Linked DNA regions of Cricetulus griseus. The protein of the gene in region 1 purifies or fractionates together with the protein of each later gene. This does not show direct contact. Links are inferred from orthologs where the notes say so. Each region holds a gene or a part of one and is shown in the gene's direction. Other genes may lie near its edges.

Region 1 (4,218 bases):
CTCCCCCTCCGGCGGCCGCCACGTAGCGGGGAGCGCGCTGCAGCTCGGGCCTGGGGCCTCGCGGCGGCGGCGGCGGCTCTAACGTTATCCGCGCCCGCCGGCCGCGGCGCGGCTGGGGGAGGGGACCCGCGCGCTTTGTCTGGAGGCCCCGCAGCTGTCATCGCTCTCCCACCCTCGGCACGACTGTGCCGTCCTCCCCGTGCAGCGGCGCGGCGCGGCGCGGCGCGGCGCGGCGGCGCCTCAGCCAGGCCCCGCCAAGCCTCCTCCCCGCAGCAGCCCCGGGTCCCGGGGGCCCACGGCGGGGGCGCGGGGGCCCGCAGCCTCCCCGCAGGGAAGCCGGGCGCACGGAGCATCCCCGGCCCCGCCGCGCCGCGCCGCGCTGCGCCACGCGCGACCAGAAAAGCAAGGCACCGACTTCACCGCTCAGATGCTCCGGGCGCGGATCCTGCAGAGTCTCCCGGCTGCGCGCCTCAGCTCAGCCACATCCGAGGGGAGGGGGCGCGGGCGCGGGGCGCGGGCGCGGGCGGCTCGGCCGGGGGGGAGGGGAGGGGAGGCACCGCCCACGCCCAGGCCGCGCGGGGCCCGCCGGGAACGCGTCCTGCGGGGGGCGGCGTGCGCGCCACTCACCGTCCGCGGCGTGGCGCCTTGGGGGTCTCCTGAGGGGAGGCGGGCGGGACCGCCGAGGCCGCTCTGCGTCAAAGCCCAGCGCGCCAAAGCCGGGCTCCGCCCACCTCCTCGCCCCGGGGCCTGCGGGGCTGGGGAGCTTCTGAGCACCGCCTCTCACGGGGCGCGGGGGTCCCAGGGCCTCGGGTGCCGCCGCGGCAGCCGCGCTCGGACTGCACCCCCCCTGGGGGACGGGCACAAACAAACAAAGGCCGGCGCGCCTCGAGAGGCCCGCAGCGAGGATCGGCGAAGGCGTCGTCGCCGCAGGGAGTGCGGCCGGGGTGACGAGGGCCTCACGCCTGAGCGGCGACGCAAGCCCCGCCCGGCAGCGTTAATTTCAAACTGCGCGACCGTTTCTCCGGCTCCTTGCGCGGAGGTGTGGGGGGGGAGGGCCGGACCTCACTCCGGACGTAGTAACACGTTGGGCGCGCGAGCCTTCCGCAATTCACCAAACGCGGTTGCGCAAGTGACGTAACGCGGCCTCGCTATCCCGGGAGGGGGAGGGCGCACGCACCCGGCGCAAAAGGCGTGTCGAGGCCCTTCCCGCCATTGGCGGCGGTTAGGACGTTTGCGTAACGGCCTGACGTAGGCGGAGACGCGTTAGTGGGGGGAAGGTTCTAGAAAAGCGGCGGTCCCGGCTCCAGCGGCAGTAGCAGCGGCGCCGGGTCCTGTGTGCAGGTCTTTCCCCCGCGGCGCGGTTTCTCGAGCGGCGGCTGCTCTTCCCCCCCCACAGCGTCAGGACGAGTCCCGTGCGTGTGCGTCCGCGGAGGTCTTTCTCATCTCGCTCGGCTGCGGGAAATCGGGCTGAAGCGACTGAGTCCGCGATGGAGGTAACGGGTTTGAAATCAATGAGTTGTTGTTGGCGAGGGCATGGCGAGGCCGCCGTGGAAGCCGGCCACCGCCGCGGCGGGCGGGCGGGCGGAGGGAGGGAGAGCGGCCGCCCGAGCGGCGGTTGGCCCGGGGGCTCTGAGAGGGTCGTTGGCGGAGGCCCGATTGTCCGAACGCCTTCCCCGCCCTCAGCCGCCCGGCGCCATTTCCCTGAGCCGGGTGGGGGATGGGGCCCGGCCGCGGCCAGCGGCTCGTCCTCCGCAGGGGCGCGGGAGCCCGGCCGGCCTGGTTCCCCCGCGGGCCGTGCGCGGGCCCCGGGGCCCGGGGCGTGTGCGCGGCGGAGCGTTCGTTCGGGCGGCCACCGGGTCCCCTGGAGCGGCTCTGCGCGGCTCCCTCCCCCTCCCTCCCTCCTCCCCCCCGGGAACCGGATTTGGCGGCCGCCATTTTCCCGTCTCCTTGCTCGCAGCGGTTTTTCGCGTCCCGCACTCTGCGGCTCTGCCCGTTCGGCCCCTTCCCCCCCGCGTGGGAGCCATTAGCTGGTTTCCTTTGTCCCCGGCCCGTTTTGGTGGCGTTCCGAGGGGGATCTGGGGTGTTTTGAGCTCTGATCTCGGAGTCCTGCGCACCTCGTTTTAGGCGCTCCGCCCTCCTTCCCCCTCGACGAAATGGCGCCATTGCGCTCCCGAGCCACACGGTGTGCGCGGCCGGGTGGGGGTGGCGGCGGCCTCCGCAAGGGTTCCCGGCGCAGGCCCCGGGCGAGGAGTGCGATCCGGGCCTGAGCCTGCTGCTGAAGGCAGCCTTGCAGCAAAGAAACCATTTTACTTCCCCGAGCTGGCTCCTAATTCCTTTAATTAAGCGATTTGTGAGTCTGCAGTTGTAAAAGGAAGCCCAGAGTGCTCAGCTGTAGTTAGAAGGTGATCTTGGGCGGAGGGATATTTTTTTATTGCTGCGTATGTTTATTTTCCTGAAGGATCCTGATGTTTGAAATAATTCAGATTATGAGGATTTTAAAGGGAACCACAGGATTTGTTCCTAAAACAACAGATCTTTACGCGTGATGGTCACGTTAGGGAAGAGAAAATAACTTTTCGTAGTTCACCTTTGATTACAGCATGGAACAGTCCAGTATTAACGCAGGAACCTAGCTATGTAAAAACTTTTATTTGGGACACAATGTATTTGAACTTTGTCATTTGCTTTTTTCTGATTTATGTTTGCAAATGGTTGATTATTACATTGATAAGCATAAGGTTTCAAATTAAAGGGGTCTACTTGGTTATATTCTTTGACCCTAAGCACGTTTATAAAATAACCTTGTTTATAATCGATAGTGGACGTCGGGTAAGTTTGGAAAAACCTATGAGGTAAGTAATAAGCTTTTGCTTTTTGTTAGTGACATTAAAAATGGTAAGTTTATGCTTACAGTTTGAATTTAAAGATGGCACATCTGTGGACATTTATCTAGAATTGCCTGGAAACTTGGATTTCCAGTCATACTAAGTATTTTACACGTCCTATTTTAATCTTTAACCTATTTTGTCTACTCAATTTCTCCAAATTTCAGAACCTGAGAAAGGGCATCGAACAAAATTTTTACAGACTTTTTTTGAAGGAACCTTAATAGATTTGGGTTGTAATAAGAGTTGTGGAAATTTTTTGTGTGTTATGAATTTTGTCTTTTCAGTTTGTTATGCAATCAAGACAGGTCCTGGATAGTATTACCCAGTTTATAAGCATCTTGGTTTTTAAGCTGTTTTATTTATAAGTCAGTAATAACACAACTTTAGTATTTACTTCAGGAAATTACTATTGGAAATTTTTGAGAGATTTGTCAGAAGGCCACTAATTACTAAAAGGAAAGTTAAGCCAGGCGTTGGTGGCGCACGCCTTTAATCCCAGAGGCAGGCGGATATTTGTGAGTTCGAGGCCAGCCTGGTCTCCAGAGCGAGTGCCAGGATAGGCTCCAAAAAAAATGTAAAGTAACTGTTGGGGCAATAGCAACTGTAGATAAATGTGTGCTTCTTAGTACTGTAGCCTGAACACCAGACAAGGAGTGCCTCCCAAAAAATTAGATGGAATAAATTTTGCTAAGTTAAAAGAAAACTATTTTGAGGTGGTGCGTATATCTGGTGTTCAACTTTACTCATGGAACTTCTTTCAGAGTTGAAGGATCCCCCATTGAAATAGTTAGTCTAACTCCAGGGTGGGGGGGCAGTTTAAGGAAAGGCAGATCTGCCACTACTCTGAAATTGAATCCTGAATTAAGCAGTGGATATCGAAATTTCAGGGTTTTTTTTTTTCAATTTAAAAAAATAAGTTTGAGCAAAGTTCTGTGCTTGAGTTGTAGACTTTAATAAAGAATTTCATAAGAATTCTTTGATACCCTTTAAATCAGAGTTGGTTATGGTTTTTCTCAAAGGTTTTTAAGAAAGTGTAAGCTAAGGTAATTTATATGAATTAAAGTTAGATCAAATATTAGTGACTTTAAAACTTGCATAGTTCAGCTGAGGCAATTTTTGGTGTAACACAACTAATATGCAGTTTAACATATGGTTTAAATTTGATGTAAGTTTTTTTTTTCCCCCCAGAAAACTTTAGAAACTGTTCCTTTGGAGAGGAAAAAGGTACTCTGCCAGCAGGTCACCTCATATTTAAGAATTTAATTTCCTGCATACAAAGAGAAAATGTAAATAAAAATTGAAATGGTATTTTCCTTTACAGAGAGAAAAG
Region 2 (3,614 bases), on another chromosome or scaffold:
TTTTTGAGAAAATAGTGGAGATCTTCAAAAATATTCTGAGCATTTATTTCAAGATTGATTTGGTGCTGTCTTTCAGGGATACTCTAGAATGGTATTAGACATCAAAACACCTTTAATATTTTCTTGTTTCTTTTCAGGACTGAATGGCTTTCAGATACAGTTGAGATTTTGTTGAGTATCTTACTGGTTTTACAACAGTGGTTCTCAGCCTGTGCGTTGACTTAAGACCATTGGAAAACACACATTTACGATTCATAACAGTAGCAAAATGACAGTTATGAAGTAGCAACAAAAGTAATTTTATGGTTGGGGATCACCACAACATGAGAACTGTATTAAAGGGTCGAAGCATTAGGAAGGTTGAGAGCCACTGCTTTATAGGATCCATAAAGTCAAATTGTCAAAGGTGAATGTTCATCTGAAAGCAGAACTATAGAATATAAGTATTCTTGTAAAATACAGCAGTGGGTGCCAATACCTCACTGACCTACTGCTGTTTTGTTTTTGAGACAGGGTTTCTCTATCCTTGATTATCCTGGAACTCTATATAGACCAGGCTGTCCTGGAACTCAAGAGTTCCTGCCTCTGCCTCCCAATGCTGGGATCAAAGATGTTGCTACCACCCAGCAACTACTGCTGTTGTATGTAATAGTGAATAACAGGCTCAGAAATTAAATGTTTTAAGCCATTGAAAGGTGCTTGAATTAGTGAGCCATTCAACCCCATGCTGGGTTTTTTTTTGTTTGTTTTTGTTTTGTTTTGAGATAGTCTCACTATGTGGACTAGGCTGACTTTGAAATCACTGTCTCCTAGATGCTGGAATTAAAGACATGTGCTACCATGTAGGGTCTCGTGCTTTTTTAAAAGCAAATGCACCGAAGACTTAGTTATAATGCCAGTTTTTAAGTTGTGTTTTCACCATTTTGGTTCTACCAAGAGTGGTACTTTCCATGGGCTTTTAAAGATGGGTCTGGATTTTCTTTCAGCAGGGTTTAAGGTTCAGTCACGAGTACACACAAAACACATGCTGATGATATACACATGTAGAGGAGAAATTAAAGATTGGCTTACTTTAATGCATGTATTATTTGGGAAAGATGTTTAGAATGTAATCCAAGGGTTGGCACATGGTAGACATTCTGTCATTGAGCTATATCCTTGGGTTCGTTGATGCATGAATTCTAGAAGAAATTTATTCCCTTCTCTCCACTCCCCCCCCCCAACCCCGGTTTTTTTGGAGACATTTTTCCTCTGTATAGCCTTGGCTGTCCTGGAACTCTGTAGACTACGCTGACGTTGAATGCATATTTCTGCCACTATTCCAAGCTCTAACTTTACATTTATTTATTTATTCATTCATTCATTCATTCAAGACAGGGTCTCACTGTGTAGCTTGACTGTCCTGGAACGTATTATGTAGACCAGGCTGGCCTCAAATTCACAGAGATCCCCCCTGCCTCTGCCTCCTGAGTGCTGGGATTAAAGGGTGTGCACTACCACAGCCAGGGCTTTATTTTTAAGGGCAGAGTCTGGCCTTGAACTCTTGAACCTCTTGTCTCAACCTCCCAGGGCTAGGATTGTTATAGTGTGCTACCATATGATTTTAAGAAAATTAGAATTAACTCTCTGTAGATCCACCTCTAACTGATGATATGGAATTAACCATTAGTGAATGGTGTTGATATAGCTTCAAGCCTAAAGGAATCATTTTAAAAAATTGTTTTGTTGACAGGGGAGGAGGTGGTGAGGGAAAGATTGGAATATTCAGGTGAGTAGGATTCCCACATCTGTGTAGTGAAATAAGCAAGGGCTGGTAAGTTTCCACAGCTTCAGAACTTCTGCATTAGTCTCTAAAAATATTCTGGAATTTTAGAAGGAAAGTGGCTGCCTCTAGGGAATGGAACTGGCTAGCTTGTGTGTTCCTTGGAGGATAGAGGGGGCTTCATGCTGTTCTCTTTAAATACCATGTGAGTGTTAATATGCTGTCTTTGGGTAAAGTGTTTAAATCTGATTGACTAAAAAAAGGGGGGGAGGTATGTATAGTGGTGACACTATTTCCAGCACTCTGGGGCTGAGAGAGGCAGGCAGGTGTCTTGTGATTCAAAACCAGCCTGGTTCTTGGTCACCAAGTCTTAACACCCCCACCTCCCCAAATGTTACTGTTGAAAGGTACTCATCTGAATGTTTGTTGAAGTAGTTTCCTTGTAGTCCTAGCTCGTCAAACTCAATCCTTCTGCCTTAGCTCCCAAGTACAAAGATCTTGGGCATGTACTTACTATCATATTCCATATAGCATTTGGTTTTGAGGCGCCTTTTACTTGTTTTCCTGTGGTTTCGAGGCAGGGTTTTCTACAACCCAAATGATAGAATTCAGCAAGCTTTTATTAGACCTTCAGGGATGTTTGGTAGGAGTGGGGTGAGTTTCATTGCCTTTCCCTACCCCACCCCAAAATAGAGTGTTAGTACTGTGTTGCTGGTTGTTGTAGGAGTCGGCTTGCATGCATTCTGTGCTGGGATACTTGTGAGAGGTGTTCAAGTCATGGTAAGAATGTGTTGTGATTGACTGCTTTATGTGCTTGTTTATTTCATAGCATTTAAGTCAAGCGTATTGAAATGGATTGGGTTATGAAACATAATGGTCCAAATGACGCTAGTGATGGGACAGTGCGGCTTCGAGGACTGCCATTTGGTTGCAGCAAAGAGGAAATAGTTCAGTTCTTCCAAGGTACCTCTAGTACTAGTCAAAGTTTAGTAATATTTTAATTGTATGTGTTTATTAGATGTTTTTTAATTTATAAAACTCATTTTTGGGGTCTTCTGTGATAATCTGGGTTATATTATAAAATGGAAAATGTGCTCCAGTTAATATTTAGTAGAGAATGTGTAGGCTATGTAAACGATGATTGCTGTACAATATAGTTAATTGAGAATAACTGATGACGTGGGTTATGAGTTAGCCTTGGGAGCACAGTTAAATGATAATGTAGTTTTTCATGTAGTGGGCTTTTAGAACTATAATTTTTAAGACACTGATCACAGAAAATATTTAATCCAATGATATTTGAAAAATATTCCATTTGTATTATGGGGTGATGGGGAACTAAGCGTTTTGTTTTGTTATGTTTAGACTTGTTTTAAATATTTGATTCAGATGGGAATGTTTCAGCCTTTAACACTGTTCCCCTTGATGGGGTATTTGTCCTTGGGTTAAAGGGTTGGAAATCGTGCCAAATGGGATAACATTGACGATGGACTACCAGGGGAGAAGCACAGGGGAGGCCTTCGTGCAGTTTGCTTCAAAGGAGATAGCAGAAAATGCTCTGGGGAAACACAAGGAAAGAATAGGGCACAGGTGGGGATGGAGAGTTTGGGATGGTGTTAAATTTTTATTTTTGGGGGTTGTGGGTCACTATTGCTTAAATGGGGGGGTAACCATAACATTTTTCTGGGGTAGTATTAAAGAATTGATAATTACCTAAATTTAACATGGAAACTACAGATTTGGGTGGGGAAATTAATGCTAATAGTTTAAATTAAACTTAGATTGTTTCCATTTCTTTGTAGGATGTCATTAAATTTTGTATAATCACCTGTTTTTCTTATGTACCTATCTT
Region 3 (3,611 bases), on another chromosome or scaffold:
GGAATAGAATAGTAAGGATATATAGGAGAGATTTCATTAGTTGGGTAGCTTGGATGTATTGACATTTTGGGATTTGTAAATTTTTCCTTAATTGATAGTGTTTTAAAAGCTAGTTCTTAAGTTCTAACATGGGAGTTTTCTTTTTCTTTTCACCAAAACATTTGTGATTCACAAGTTACTTTTAAATTGCTTGTTTTCTTTTACCAACAAACATTTTCAAACTTTTTTTTTCTCATTTCAGAACACAGATATGTAGAACTCTTCTTGAATTCTACAGCAGGAGCAAGCGGTGGTGCTTACGGTAGCCAAATGCTAGGAGGCATGGGTTTGTGTAAATATCACTTTAGTGTCTTTTTTTAAGCTAACCTTGTATGCCTTTTCTCTCATTTCAGAACACAGATATGTAGAACTCTTCTTGAATTCTACAGCAGGAGCAAGCGGTGGTGCTTATGGTAGCCAAATGATGGGAGGCATGGGCTTGTGTAAATATCGTTAGTTTTTTTAAAAACCAAAACATTTATATCTGTATAAGTAGTTAATAAGCTAAGTTAATATTATAATTAGCATAAGAGTTTGTTACCATAATAATTTTAAGCTACAATAAAAATATTAAGTTAGCAAACAAATTCAGGCAAAGTAAATTTTGTAATTACTATATTAAATTACTAAAATCTTGTAAATAACATAAACCTGCTTAGGATAGCTTACTTAAAGTAGATACAAGTACTTTTGTTTGGGGGAGGGGACTATTGATTGTGTTATAGTATCTGTCTATAAAGTGTAAGTTTAAAATACTTAACAAACATAAGGTTTAAAATTTTTATTTGGTAACATAATTACTTGGGCATAATTAACTAGGTGTTCATTGATACCTGTATAATATCTAAATATATATCAAGCTAAGGGGGAAACCCCACTAAAGTTTCATAAGATGATCAAAAAATGCCTCTACTTAGTGAATCATGTGTACTTAGTCCTCAACCCTTTGGTTTATAAACACTGAGCTAGCTAAAATGATGAATATAAAGGTTAATATGGTCATAGACAGTCTTGTCATAGACAGTAGGCAGGAGACAGTAATTTAAGATCAAGACTGGAAAATCGTAGACATAGAATTACAAGCCCGGTACCACCAGGTACCACATTGGATAAGGAGCAAAGCTCTAATGTTCTCTTAACTTAACAGCAAACCAGTCCAGTTACGGTGGCCCAGCCAGCCAGCAACTGAGTGGTGGTTATGGAGGTGGCTACGGTGGCCAGAGCAGCATGAGTGGATATGGTAAGTTTTTTTTTATATACCTAGAGTAAGTTTTAGGTTGGTTTGTCTAGTTGGGCTCCTTTTGAAAAGAGGAGGGGTATTAATATGGTTTTTATTACAATTCTTATTAGTATAATTTACAGAAAGTCATTGGGAGGAGGGGGATGTATCCTAGTAATTGCAATTTTGGAATATTGTCAAGGCAGAAAACATCTCTGTTCGTTTATTAAAATAATTAGCTTGCTTTTCTGTTGTAGCATTAAATTTTTTGGAGGGTAATTTTTAAATATTAGGCTGGTGGTTGGGTTCAGGACAGTATTTTACTAGTCGGTTAACCTAGGGATGGTTTTATTTATTTTTTTTTCAATTGGTCTAAAGAATGGTGATTTTGGTATTATAGTCTTACCCTACAAAATCCTTTTGCAGACCAAGTTTTACAGGAAAACTCCAGTGATTTTCAATCAAACATTGCATAGGTAAATATTTTCTCAAAAAATAATTTAAATTCCCAATAGCAAAGACTGATAATGTTGTGATAACACTTTTCTATAGCAGTCAGTGACTCTGACTTAACTCCCTGGAGGCTGCCATTTTGGGCACAGTGAGTTGCCTTTAGTCCAACTTTTGTCCTCTCACTTCTTGCCCACCATGAATAGGCAAAGCAAAAGACTTCCCCTGTGTTCCCTATTCATACACATCATTCGATGAACACATAGTACATGTTTATGGTAAATTTTTAAATGCTTTGTTTAGCTTTAAAAACTTGGAAGTAATTTTGCAATTTTTGAAAAACACTAGTTTTCCTTTAAACTTAAAATTTCCACGTTGATCCTGAAGAATCCACTTAAAATGGTAGCACAAGAGTCTGGCAAGTTGGTACTGCAGAGAAAAGGGTTTAATTGAAATTTGTTTGGAGTCGGGATTCCCTTTTCCCAACATGCTTCTCGCCAATTGGACAGCAGCCATTTGCACTCGTATACCTTTTAAACTTTTTCTTGGAATGTTATTTTATTTGATTGGTTATTTGACACTATTCCTAACTTGTCAAACTGATCTCTTTGCAGGTAGCCAAGGAGCAGTGAACAGCAGCTACTACAATAGCGGAAGCCGTGCATCTATGGGCGTGAATGGAATGGGAGGGATGTCTAGCATGTCCAGTATGAGTGGTGGATGGGGAATGTAATTGATTTTGATTGATCACTGACTCTTGGTCATTTTTTTTTTTAATGGAAAAAAAAAAACCTTCAGTTTAACAGTTTTGCAATCCAGCCTTGTGATTTATGTCTACTCTCTTAAGTGAACATTGGCATCACTCAAAGGACTAAGGTTCAATGTTGAATATAGTCACCTAGGATGATGATACAGTGAACTATAACTGTTAAACAATTCCCAGCTTTTCTCTAGTTACTGTAGGATGTGTGTAAGCAGTAAGCGTATTTAGGTTAAAGCAGTTGAATTATGTTAAATGTTGCTCTTATACATACATTACATTGAACACTGTTGATGCATGTTGAAAAGACATGCTTTTTTGTAAAACTCTATAGGAGCTGCGTCTACAATTAAAAGTGAAACATTTGGCATGTTTGTTCTAATTTCATTTGATAAACCTGTAAGGCACGTGAGTTTAAAGCTTTTCTCTTTTTTTTTAAGTTGATGGAGAAATTTTGAGACGCAATACCATTACTTTAGGATTTTTGGTCTTGGTGTTTGTATGAAATTCTGAGGCCTTGATTTAAGTCTTTCATTGTATTGTGATTTCCTTTTAGGTGTATTGCGCTAAGTGAACCTTGTCAAATAAATCTTCCTTTTAAAAGCTACACCTTGTCGTATCTGTGCTTCAGTGTCATGTGATCTTTCTTTGGTGCTTTATTCCTACCTGGGGTCATATTCCATGTCTCTGACTATGATAGAAAGGCTGGGCTACATAGAGAAACTGTGTGTGTTTTGAGACAGGGTCTCTAACTGCCCTGGTTGTCCTGGAACTCCATAGACCAGGCTGGCCTCAACTCAGATCCTCCTGCTCTGCCTCCCTGGTGCTGGGATTAAAGGTGTATATCAACACCACCCTGGGAGAAAAACCTCGAAAAATAAAAACAGAACCAAACAGAAAACCCAATAACTTGGAGACAAGGTCTTACTGTGTAGCCTTGGCTGGTAGAAGTAAAAATTCCTACAAGTAGCCTCTGAACTTCATTTGTAAGATGGTATATCCATATAGACAACAAAAATGAACCTTAAAAAAGTTTAATGCTGGACATGGTGGCACATGCCTTTAATCCAAGCACTAGGAAGGCAGAGCACTAGGTAGGAAAGAGATCCTCTGACCTCCAAAGTAATGCTGTGGCTTTACTGA

The links. Proteins that work in one complex are often made in the same cells at the same time.
Region 2: the proteins of Hnrnpa2b1 (region 1) and Hnrnph3 fractionate together in Homo sapiens (co-fractionation; 3 studies listed by BioGRID and IntAct, with this or other methods). This does not show direct contact. The link is inferred for Cricetulus griseus from reciprocal best matches to the Homo sapiens genes HNRNPA2B1 and HNRNPH3.
Region 3: the proteins of Hnrnpa2b1 (region 1) and Hnrnph1 purify together in Homo sapiens (affinity purification with mass spectrometry; 5 studies listed by BioGRID and IntAct, with this or other methods). This does not show direct contact. The link is inferred for Cricetulus griseus from reciprocal best matches to the Homo sapiens genes HNRNPA2B1 and HNRNPH1.

What each region holds. Positions count from the first base shown.
Region 1 is NC_048601.1:89,866,082-89,870,299, forward strand, and holds the start of Hnrnpa2b1 (heterogeneous nuclear ribonucleoproteins A2/B1), read left to right. Parts: upstream 1-1,273; 5' UTR 1,274-1,487; coding exon 1,488-1,493; intron 1,494-4,076; coding exon 4,077-4,112; intron 4,113-4,209; coding exon 4,210-4,218. Other genes in the region: translation initiation factor IF-2-like, read left to right, coding at 1-660. UniProt on the Homo sapiens protein: Heterogeneous nuclear ribonucleoprotein (hnRNP) that associates with nascent pre-mRNAs, packaging them into hnRNP particles.
Region 2 is NW_023276806.1:273,843,563-273,847,176, forward strand, and holds part of Hnrnph3 (heterogeneous nuclear ribonucleoprotein H3), read left to right. Parts: intron 1-2,588; exon of another isoform or gene 2,589-2,591; 5' UTR 2,592-2,613; coding exon 2,614-2,725; intron 2,726-3,213; coding exon 3,214-3,352; intron 3,353-3,614.
Region 3 is NC_048600.1:64,840,985-64,844,595, forward strand, and holds the end of Hnrnph1 (heterogeneous nuclear ribonucleoprotein H), read left to right. Parts: intron 1-241; coding exon 242-301; coding exon of another isoform or gene 302-331; intron 332-392; coding exon 393-482; intron 483-1,186; coding exon 1,187-1,279; intron 1,280-1,684; coding exon of another isoform or gene 1,685-1,734; intron 1,735-2,322; coding exon 2,323-2,441; 3' UTR 2,442-3,075; downstream 3,076-3,611. UniProt on the Homo sapiens protein: This protein is a component of the heterogeneous nuclear ribonucleoprotein (hnRNP) complexes which provide the substrate for the processing events that pre-mRNAs undergo before becoming functional, translatable mRNAs in the cytoplasm.